Mus musculus: one gene and its partner. The protein of the gene in region 1 interacts with the protein of each later gene in a biochemical or structural test. Links are inferred from orthologs where the notes say so. Each region holds a gene or a part of one and is shown in the gene's direction. Other genes may lie near its edges.

Region 1 (5,916 bases):
AGCCTCTACCTCCACAGAGCAGAGCAGAGCAGAGCAGAGAGATGAAGTGGGTTAATTAGCGTGATGCCTGGTAGGCAGTAAGTTAGCATCAGGAATCCCATTGAGCACTGAGACCTTCTGCCCACAGAATGTAGAAAGTGAACATTGGAGCTGGCACAGATATGCAAATAACATAACATTCTCTGAAGGGCTGAGAGTATGTGGGTGGCCGCTAGGCAGAGGGCAAGGTGGCACAATAAAGGGACAAAGCCAAGTTAAACACTGCATTCACAAAGAATTGTCCAAGCCAGGTACGGTGGCACATGCCTGTAATCCTGGCACTTGGGACGTAGACACAGGAGGGTCAAGACTTCAAGATCATCCTCTGCTACACAGAAAGTTTGGGGCTAGCCTGTGCTACCCGAGACTCTGTCTCAAAAGGAAGGAAGAAGGAGGAAGAAAGGAGGGAGGGAGGGAGGGGGGAAGGAAGGAAAGACAATGACAGAACAAAAGAGAAAAGAAAAGAAAGGGGAGAGAGAGAGAGCCAAGCATGTTGGTTTAAATCTGTAATGAAGCAGGAGAATCACCATGAACTCAAGGCTATCTCAGACTGCGTGTCTCATAGGTTCTGGGCCAGCCTGGGTTATAGAGTAAAACACAAGAAATAAGGTTCAGGGGGCCAGAAAGGCTGACCTTTGCTTTCTGACTCACTTCCTGGACACTCTCTCTGGGGGCCCCAAATTTGGAGTGAGTTTGCCTACCAGACTGTTGGTTACATAATTGCCTGGGCACCCAAATCAAGGGGAAAGGTGAGGTTTTGAAACTGTTGTAGCGCAGGGCATCCTGGCCATCGCCTTCAGGAGACCAAGAGCAGGGAGCAGAGGCCCACATTTCCCCACAGTGCTTCTCACTGCTGTCTGTCATCCACAACAACTTTGGGAAATGCTGCTTTAGGCTTCAGAGCTAGCAGAGGTGGGGTGGGGCCAGAAAGAGTTAGGTCAAATGCCTCTCATCTCTCACCTAGAGGACAGCAAACACTCACAGTTCCTGTCCCTGGAGCTGGAACGGGCTGCGGGAGAGACAGGGGAAAGTAAATGGTGGTGATCAAGAGGAAGCTGGGTCTGCAATCCAAACTGCAGAGCCCCATTCTGTCCTTTCGGGTTTAGTGACCTTTGATTTTGGTCCTGGGGCTCAAATGCAGGACCTTGCGCATGAGAGACAAGTGCCTTCACTACAGTGTTACGGCCCTGGGCTTTCTGTTTTATTTTGAAATAAGATCTTGCTTTCTAGGCCAAGATGGCCTCAAACTTTTAAAAACATATTTTTAAATATTTATTTGTCTCTCTCTGTCTCTCTCCCTATCTCTCTCTGTGGGTGTGTCTGTGATTTTGTGTGTGTTTGTGTATATACACACATGTCTATGCTTTAGGAGTCCAGAAGAGGGCGCTGTTGAATCTTTTGGAGCTAGAGTTACAGGAGGTTGGGAGTTGCCATGTGAACTCAACAGCCAAAATCAAGCCCCAGGAACCGACATCAAAGGTCACTAAACCCGAAAGGACAGAATGGGGCTCTGTGATTCGGATTGCAGACCCAGCTTCCTCTTGGTCACCGCCATTACTGTCCCCTGTCTCTCCCTGGGAACTTAACTCTGGTTTTCTGTAAGAAAAAGTGGTCTTAACCACCAGGCTACCTCTCCAGATTCAGGCCTCAGACCTTTGTTTTGAGTTAGGGTCTCATTTTATCTACATGGCCTGGAACTCACTGTGTAGACCAGGGTGGTCTTGAATTCAGAGACCTCTCTGCTTCTGCTTCTGGAGTGCTGGGATTAAAGGCATGTGCCATCATGCCTAGCTTGCCTTCATGTTCTTTCCTCTATTTTCTGGTTGTTGAAGTTACAGATGTGCTAGCGCAGGCTCTTTAGGGCCAGTATGAGTGTACGGGAATAAATGTTCTCCTTTTGTGCCATGTTCTATCCTAAGCACCCTCTGGGCATCAGATAGCTCATTTACCCCTTCACAGTGTATGGATAAAATGGGTATAAACTACTCACTCAGATGAGGAAACTGAGGCCCAGGAGCATGCAGCAGTAAATGCATCCGGGTTTGTCTGAAGCTCCAAAGCATGCACTTTTTCTTCTGTGCCGCAGTTTCCTAGAGATGGGTCCCGCTGCCAGACTCAGAAGATGTGGCACATGGACAGAGCCTTGGTAACAACCTTTTAACTGGGGAATCAGAGGCTCAGTGGAAAAAAAAGGTGTTTAGGCTCATACAGCCCAGCACTGCTCAGCAGGATGAGAAAGCTAGAGCCAGGCATGTAAGCCCAAACTTAGAAGTCTAAGTCGAGATGATCACATGTTCAAATTCAGCCTGCGTGAGACCCTGCCTCAAAAACACACGAATACGGATGAGTGAAGGGCTCAGTAGATGACGGTGCTTACTGTGCCTGCCTGAGGTTGATCTTGGGACCCCTGAGGTTCTAGAAGGAGGGAATAGATTCTGTTCCTCTACGCATGCACAGCATATTTGGCCCCTCCCAGTAAGCAATTAACAAAAAGAGTCCTGTGGTATTGGTACACAGCTGGAAAGCATATGTCATTTCTTAAAGGATGTGTTTGTGTGAGAGACAAAGAAAAAGCAAGATCATAGGCATGCGTGCCTGCGTGTACACACATGAACATATGCACACACATACACATGCACACATATACACATGCACACATGTACACATGTACACATATACACATGAACACATGCACACATATACACATGCACACATGTACACATGTACACATATACACATGAACACATGCACACATATACACATGCACAGACATACACATGCACACACATACACATGCACACATGTACACACATACACATGCACACATGTACACACATACACATGCACACATACACATGCACACATGTACACAATACACATGCACACATATACACATGCACACACATACACATGCACACATATACACATGCACACACATACACATACACACATACAAATGCACGTGGTTACTGGAGGACTTCCCCTGGTTCATCACCTTCCACATCCTTCAGGTCACATGAGGAAATCCCTCTTTTAACACCAAATTTTCATTTTTTTCGTTCTTCTTCCTAAATTCATTTATTGATATATGCGTGTGTATGTTCATGTGTGATCGCACGCTGAGCTCAGGTCGTCAGGCTCAGTGGTGAGAGCTTTTACCAGCTAAGCCATCTCGCTAGCTCCATACCATACACCAAACTGTGCCCAAAAGTCCCTCAGATAGGCAGCAACTTTTGTTCCTGGAAAAGGTGTAGGGAGAAGCCACATCACAGATCTACCCAGAGCTATGTGGCTGCTTCCTAGAGTTGGGTCCACCCTTCCACAGACACCAGACACCCATAGGGGCTTTCTGGGGAAATCTCTTCCTTCAGCTTCCCAGGAACCTGGGCGTGGCTGCCCCTGCCTGTAGTTTTACAGAAGCAGCATTGTAGGTTTGGACAAACTCTGGTATGTGAGAAATGTCAGCCCCGTGACTTTGCAATCACACCCTGATCATGTGACAAGGACCCATGCTTGTGACTTTAGATAGCCAGGAGTCTGTGGAAGGTCACAGAGGCAGGGGAAGCCGTTTTCCAAGGCCTGCTGTGGGTCTAGAGTGGGAGCTTATGTGTATTCGCCCAATAGCAATTCTACCTATTTTGTAGGTGGGTCCACTGAGGCCAGAGAGGCTTAGGCCTGTGCTGAGGTCACACAGCCAACAGATGGCAAAGCCAGGACTCAGACGAGGGCTCAGAAGTCTGTGTCTCTGGGCCCAGTCAGGAAGCCACACCAGTGGCTGCTGGTGACAGCTCCAGGTGTGACTGTCATTAGGGACTTTAACATTGGCATGTTAGGAAACCTCTCTGCGCCTCAGAGTCCTTTCTATAAAGCAGCGGTGGAGTCCGTGAATGTTCCAGGAGATGATTAACGTACTTTCTGCCCAGCCTGAATGGTTATGTTATGTTACTCTATCATCTCCCTGCCCGGGCACCTTGGCTCACACCCTCCCCCCTGGCTTTCCCATAGATCACTACTGGGATTTCTCCGCACACCATGTCCACAACAACGAGTTTGAGAACTTCCCTGAGAACCACTTCACAGAGCTGCAGAGTGTGCAGCCCCCGCAGCTACAGCAGCTCTATCGCCACATGGAGCTGGAACAGATGCACGTCCTCGATACTCCCATGGTGCCACCCCACACCGGCCTCAGTCACCAGGTGTGTGCTGCTGGCTGTCCTCTGTCCACCTCCCCTCCCCACCCCAGACCTCCAGGCCTGTGGTGAGGCATGGAACCTTCACAGGAAGCTGACATAGGCTCTTACTCAACGTGGCTTCCTGATCTACAGAGCCAACGGCAGCTGGTACCCCAACAGCTGTGCTGACCTCCCGCCTGACCTTAGGGACCCACACCTTAGTCTCACACACGATGGATAGATCCCATATGATCCACTAGTCCTCGGCCATCTTCTCTCACCCTGTTCCTGCTTGTGACCCTCAGGGTTCCACTGCCTATAGTCCCCATTTTCTGTCTCTCCATGTACCCAGACTCTGAGTCACTAAATGCTCGCCTCTGCAGACCTCCTGGCTCCCTATTGATCCTCATTGCTGACTATTCTCTGCTCCAGGGTCCTAACCCCGACCATTGATCTCTGCCATCCCTCACTGACCTTCACTGCCCATTCATTGGCTCATCACCCCCTCATTAAGGCTCACTCACTTCCGTATTAAGCCCCAGCTCATTGCTCCCCAGAACCTTCCCACTATTCCTAGTGCACTGCCAGGGCACATGGCCCCTTTGCATGCGTAAAGATATACCTTTATCTTCCCTAAACCAGAGGCCACAGTTGGAAGGGTGGTAGGCTCGGTAACTAACAACTCATTGTACCAAGACCTGCACCCCTGAGTCTTGGTCCAGACTGGCCCCTAGTTTTCCCTTCTTAGTCCTCGACCCTGCTGACCCCTCCTGCAGCCCTGGGCTATCCCTTATGGACTTCACGCCTGTTCTTCCCTTTGCAGGTTTCCTACATGCCCCGGATGTGCTTCCCTTATCAAACCTTGTCCCCAGCCCACCAGCAGAGCTCAGATGAGGAGGAGGGTGAGAGGCAGAGCCCTCCCCTGGAGGTGTCTGATGGAGAAGCTGATGGCTTGGAGCCTGGGCCAGGTCTTCTGCACGGGGAGACAGGTAGGGTCCAGCATCACCGATCCAGTGACTGTAGCTGCATTTACATTTATGAACCTTGCATATTCCTAGCCAAGGTCAACTGGCCCAGCAGCCATGTTTCAGAGGTGTGTGTGTGTGTGTGTGTGTGTGTGCATGTGCATGTGCATGTGTATGCACACATGCGTGTTTGTGGATGCTTCTCTACCTGTACAGGTCTCTAAGTCTGTCTGTATTGTGAATGAACAGGCATCATTTCAAAGTGCGTGAGAGTCTGTGTGTGCATCAGTATTGTGTAGGAGTGTGAATGGGAGACTGTATGTATATCTGTGAAGGCCTGGGTGTATACAGGACTGTGAGTGTGTGAGGTCATGTGTGTGAGTACCTGTGAATGTGTGAAGGCCTATGAGTGTGGGAGGAAGGCCTGTGAGTGTGTAGGTCTTGTGTGTGAGTGCCTGCGTGTGAAGGCCTTTGGATAGGCATGTAGATATGTGAGAGCAGATATGGGTATATGTATGGATACACGTGACATATCTATGAGGATTTGTATATATGGAGGGGTGTGCACTTGAGTGGGAGTGGGCACGTGTGTGCTTGCACCTACCATGGCTGGGAGGAGCTGGTGGGAGGGTCCCCATAAAATCCTTGCATCCTGTCCACACACCACTTGGTTGCCCATCTCTCACAGGCAGCAAGAAAAAGATTCGCCTGTACCAGTTCCTGCTGGACCTGCTGCGCAG
Region 2 (6,016 bases), on another chromosome or scaffold:
CCATGGTACTTTTTTTGAGTAGTTTTAAGAGTAAAAAAGGAAAGCTTTGAGAGCATGTACATGCAAGCATAATTTATTGTCTTTTTCTATTTTACCTTTAAATGTGTATTTATTTTTATTTTATGAATATAAATGTTTTCCTGTATGAAAGAGATTGGGTTTTGTTTTGTTTATGAGACAGCATCTCATGTAGCCTAGGCTGGCTTTGAATTCATAATGTAGCCAAGGATGACTTTGAATTTCTGATGTTCTTGCCTTTTACTTCCTGTGTACTGGCCTTATAATTGTGCACCACCATGACAGGTGTATGTAATGCTACGGGTTATCCCAGGGCTTTGTACATGCTAGGCAAACACTTTACCATTGAGCAACACTTACAGCTTCTGGGACACTTGATTGGTGTGTATGATGGATGAATGGTTTTGGGAGATATTACATAAGTATCCTCAAGTCAAATTGTGTTTATACTTGTGTAGCATCATATGGGATGTGCCTTCAGTATTTTGAACTGTGTCATCTTTCTCATTTTTCTTTGTCATTTTGGAATTAAAAAAAAATGTCCCACCACTCCCACAGATTTTTGGATAGAGTGGATGTGTGTGTTCTATTTTCCATATTGCTAAAATTCTTCAGTTTGTTGAGATATATACATGTAGTATACTTTCCTGGTTGTAATTGCCCCACTTTTTATGTTGGGGATTGAATCCAGGGCTTTATGAGTGGTAGGCAAGTGCTCTACCATTACGTTTTATCCTCAGACTCTATCTCCCCATTTTAAAGGAATATTATTTTTAAATGCTACACTCTCATTTTTTAAATGGCTCCTTTTAATTCTACTGCTAAAATACTTTTGGTACAATATGCCTTTTTTTCTATTTTTTTTTTTTAGTGCAAGTATAAAATATGTCATTTAAATCTCTTTTATCTAATTTAAGGAACTTAAGATTTTCTTCCCAAAATTTCACAAGGTAGGAAAATGATGTACTTTATTTTTGTGAATGATATTGCACTGTAGATCTTGCTGTTTCTTGCTTTGTTCTCAATTAAATATCATGTTTCCTCTACAGCTTTATAGACATTTTGATCAGATTAAGGACATTCTAATTATAGTTCTTTAAGGTGTTTTTAAAATCATATGTAGGTATTGAATTTTATTAAATGCTTTTTCCTGCATGTATTGGGATACTCACATGATCTGTTCTTAAAATTATAATTGATTTCTAATTTTAAACCATCCTTGCATTCGTGGAATAAAACTCAGCCTGAAGGTGTGGCTGGAGAGATGGCTTGTTGCTCTTGCAGAGGACCCAAGTTCAGATCCTATTCTCTGTATATGCAAATACCTGTATTCTCACACCCCAACATACACACACACACACACACACACACACACACACACTACCACTCTTACCCACTTGTTTTTTACATTTCTATCTTAGTATTTTATGTGTATAAGTGTTTTGCCTGGTGCTCACTGTGGTCAGAAGAGGGCACAGGATTCCCTGAGACTAGAATTACAAATGGTTTAGAATGGCCATATGGGAAATCCTCTAGATTTCCCCCACTGTAGTAAGATATTCACTTAGGTGATCCTGTCCCAAAGTCAGCCATCATCCTTATTTTTTTTCTTTCTTTCCATCTGATATCCAATACTTTTGGCTCAATTTTTAACATAAATCTTAACTATCACAACTTATCAGATTTCAACTGCTACTGTCCTGGTTAAAGCCTTCATCATCTATCTTTCTTCAACTGCTGCCAGGACCTCTGGACCAGCCAGTTCTTCATTCTTCACTGGCAACATAGGTTTTATGGTGACAGCTAGTGACTCAAATATTTATCAAGGGCTTCTCATCTCAAAATAATCTCCTAGTTCTTTTGGTGGCCTAGGTCTCTCTCCAGTCACACTGGCCTCCTTAGTAAGGCAGGCATAGTCCTTCCTTAGAGTGTTTAAACTTGCCTAGAATGTTTTCCCCAATTACCCATATTGGGAGACGACATGAGGGCAAAAGCTAGAGGGTATCATAATAGCACTTCTTTTGTCCTTGCCCTATCTATTTCAAAGTCTTTATCTCTGTGCAAAATTTTAAGTTCTACTTTCTTGTATGTTTAGTATGACTCTTCCTTACCAGGAGTCTAGTTTGTCTCCTTGTTCAGTACTAAAACAGTGCCTAGCAAATAAATGAATAGAGAGGGGAGCCAAATTTGAATCAGAAAGTCTCTTGTTGCATAGTGTTTAAAAAACAAACAAAGAAAGAAAGTCTCTTGTTGAGCATTTGTTTAGCACAAAGAGCATTGGATGCTGACTGGTATCAGGGTAAGGCTGCTTTGACAATGCTCCCTCTGGCCTCACTCCCTTTTATACGTACTTCCATCAAACCATCTGATTCAACAATGACAGACCGATCTCTTATGGGCTTGGCACACACCATCTGCCCATTATAAACGTCTGCAAAGACCAAGGTTTGATATGTTGATTTTACTGTCAGCCTTAAGAGTGCGACATCTGCTAATTTAGTGTAATAATACAATCAGTAGACCCTTTAAAACAAGTCCCTTGGCTTGGAACAACGCCAGGCTCCTCAACAGGCAACTTTGCTACTTCTACAGAAAATGATAATAAAGAAATGCTGGTGAAGTCAAATGCTTATCACAATGGTGAACTACTCAGCAGGGAGGCTCTAATAGGCGCCAAGAGCCTAGACTTCCTTAAGCGCCAGAGTCCACAAGGGCCCAGTTAATCCTCAACATTCAAATGCTGCCCACAAAACCAGCCCCTCTGTGCCCTAGCCGCCTCTTTTTTCCAAGTGACAGTAGAACTCCACCAATCCGCAGCTGAATGGGGTCCGCCTCTTTTCCCTGCCTAAACAGACAGGAACTCCTGCCAATTGAGGGCGTCACCGCTAAGGCTCCGCCCCAGCCTGGGCTCCACAACCAATGAAGGGTAATCTCGACAAAGAGCAAGGGGTGGGGCGCGGGCGCGCAGGTGCAGCAGCACACAGGCTGGTCGGGAGGGCGGGGCGCGACGTCTGCCGTGCGGGGTCCCGGCATCGGTTGCGCGCGCGCTCCCTCCTCTCGGAGAGAGGGCTGTGGTAAAACCCGTCCGGAAAATGGCCGCCGCTGCCGCCACCGCCGCCGCCGCCGCCGCGCCGAGCGGAGGAGGAGGAGGAGGCGAGGAGGAGAGACTGTGAGTGGGACCGCCAAGGCCGCGGGCGGGGACCCTTGCTGGGGGGCGGGTAGGGGCGGGACGTGGCGCGGGAGGGGCCCGCGGGGTCGGGCGACACGGCTGGCGGATGGCGTCCCTCCTCTCTACCCTCCCCCTCCCTCTGCCGCCGGTGGTGGCTTTCTCCACTCGTCTCCCGCAATCGCGAGCGACGGTTCTCAGCGCGATCTCCCTGGAGCCACCTTCGAATGACGCCCTCCCGCTGCCCGCCCCATCTGTGCGCATCCTAGGCCCCAGCTGTGCAAGCGCCCTTGTCGTCTGGGCTTCGCCAGTTGGGGCTGCGCGCGCTCCTGCCCTTCTTGGGGCTTTGGGCCTCGGCACTGTCGCGCGCCCGCGGTCCCGGCCTCTCCCTGGATCGCGCTGTCCCCTTCTCCCTCGCGCGCCCCCACTCCCGTTACTTGCTCCCCCCTCACACACACAGACTGGCGCGCGTGCGCAGTCCATCTCCCGTTGGGAGAGTGCGCCACAAGGGCTCCTGAGCTCTTACCCCCATCTCTGGGTTTTGCTCCCTCCTCCTCCTCTCCCATTCCGTGACTTTTTGCCCCCACTGCAAGCGAGTCGGTCCATCAGCTCCATTCCCCACTTGGCAGGAACAAGTTGAGGGTTATTGTCCACCCACAAAAAGGACTAGACATTATGTTCCTAGGTCCCACAACTCATCATAAAGAGATGGTTGTAGTTCTCATCAGGAACCGTGGGCAAGGGACTGTGCGTTCCTCAGCACTCGAAGCTCTTCCGTGAGACCATGCCCGCAGGGTGCTCTGGTTCTTTGGGGATGCTGTGCTGTGGCTTCGGAATATGAGCGTCTTCCCACCCTCCCTCCCCTCCCTTCGCCAGCGATCATCCAGTTACATAAGTGGAATGGGACGTTGTATGTAACGGGCTCTCTTCGTCCTGGAGCGCTCAGGATCGCCAGTACCAAATGGGGCGAGATCATCGCATCGCTGTGACTCCTGTCACTTATCTTTGAAAGTTCATTCTCTTTTTAGTTTGGTTATGGCTGAATCACTGAAAATAAAACACAGGTGACTTTTATGTGGCAGTGGCAATGTTTCTGAGGTTTTGCACTAAAGGTTTAAAGTCATCATGGAGTCTAAAAAAGATTCCCTCTCACAAGAGAGACCCTGGTATGACATTGTTCAGTATGGACCCCTGAAGGGCAAAGCTTGTTAGGGGATACCTCTATGCTGGTTCCTTGTATGTTCGGGTATAGGTTGATCAAAACAAAAATGGGCTCCACCACAAATTTGATATTCCTGACTCATAGTCAGGCAGATATGTACTCTTGGTTAATTTTCCAGGAACACAAATGGGCTCTGTTGAGTCATTTGCATGTTGACTCCACTGTTTGGAATCATTACAGTGAGGCAGTAGGCTCAAATACAGGGTGGTTGATGACGATCATGAAACAGAATGGACTAATTTATAGTGCTAAGTGACTGAGATGTTGTAGGACAAGTTCTAGATATTTTGTTATACTACATAAATGAAACCAATTTGGGCCTGGGTAGTAAAATTTCACTAATAGGTAATTATTACTGTAGAGGAGAATTTTGGGTTTGTGGTTGGAATTATGTGAATCTCAGCAATTTCAATTAATAACATGATTAAACTGATATCTTAGGTTCTTTGAAATATGTCGAATCTCTATAAAAAGATAAAATTTGGATTGTTAGGTCCTTGGGGAGTTTCCACCAAGGATTTGGAAAAATATATTTACAGACTTTTGGTTTTTCGTTTGTTTTTAACTTCAAATTCAAGTCATACTCAGAAAGCCTAGGAAACACTTGCTTTTATTTTCTTACCTGGATATGTCAGAACCTTAAAGAGTCCAAACACTGTAAAAGTACAAATGATCTAAAATGAGTTAATACACATGGCCGACAGAGTGCATTCACTTTCACAAACACACCCAAGTCTTGCTTGTCAAAAAATTCCAAGGTTTGTACATCTGAGCCTGAGCTCAGAGTTGGAACCTTTACTTTGTTTTTATATTCTTACAACAGGTTTGCTTCCTCAGGTGCCCCTCTGGTTATCTATTTGTTGTACCCATAGCTCTTTAAACATCGTAAGCAACTTCTAGAACACAGTTTCCTTTCAAAGTGCCTGGTGACATCTGAAGCTAGTGTGTCCTAAGAATTTGAAGAAACTGTATGGCTTTCTTGCTAGTATTGATCTATCACATATGCCTATTTTCTTTCCATGAGAATGTGTCTTGAGTACTTTAAAGCTACAGTAACAGGTCACTATTTCACTGAAGAAGAAAGCATCATGTTGTCCATTGTACTCTAAGGATTATTTTTTTCCTTTTTTTTTTTTGTTATTGTTATACTGGTGGTCAAACCCAGGACCTCATGCATGCTAGGCAATCACTCCACATCCTTAGCCTTCTACTCTGTTTTTTGTGCTGTTTGACTCCTGAGGTACATATGACCACAAAGACTACACATAGACCACAAAGATTTTGGAAGGTTATGATATGTTTTTGCAATCTGTGTATTTTCCAGATAGAGTGGTTCACTCTACCTGATCTGCTTCTATGAAGCCTAATCTATTGGGGATAGGGAGGCAAAGCTATGGAGTTTAAGGAGAAATCAGCTAAACCCTTGTTCCAGTGCCCCAACTCCACCCATGAACTCCTGAGAAGTTTTTTTTTTTTTTAAACCTAAAATAAAGAGCAGCAGAGGTAAACGTGTTAGTTTGTTTGCATGGTAAATGATATATCCTGGAACCTGTTATCTTTTCTAAAGGTAATTGTCAGTGAGAATCTTTTTTTTTATTCATTATTCTCAT

What was found. The genes of interacting proteins can lie anywhere in the genome.
Region 2: the proteins of Spi1 (region 1) and Mecp2 form a complex in vitro, tested with the Homo sapiens proteins (2 studies listed by BioGRID). The link is inferred for Mus musculus from reciprocal best matches to the Homo sapiens genes SPI1 and MECP2.

The regions. Positions count from the first base shown.
Region 1 is NC_000068.7:91,109,211-91,115,126, forward strand, and holds part of Spi1 (transcription factor PU.1), read left to right. Parts: intron 1-4,044; coding exon 4,045-4,235; intron 4,236-5,034; coding exon 5,035-5,200; intron 5,201-5,864; coding exon 5,865-5,916. UniProt on the Homo sapiens protein: Pioneer transcription factor, which controls hematopoietic cell fate by decompacting stem cell heterochromatin and allowing other transcription factors to enter otherwise inaccessible genomic sites.
Region 2 is NC_000086.7:74,082,681-74,088,696, reverse strand, and holds the start of Mecp2 (methyl-CpG-binding protein 2), read left to right. Parts: upstream 1-3,006; 5' UTR 3,007-3,110; coding exon of another isoform or gene 3,111-3,187; intron 3,188-6,016. UniProt on the Homo sapiens protein: Chromosomal protein that binds to methylated DNA. It can bind specifically to a single methyl-CpG pair. It is not influenced by sequences flanking the methyl-CpGs.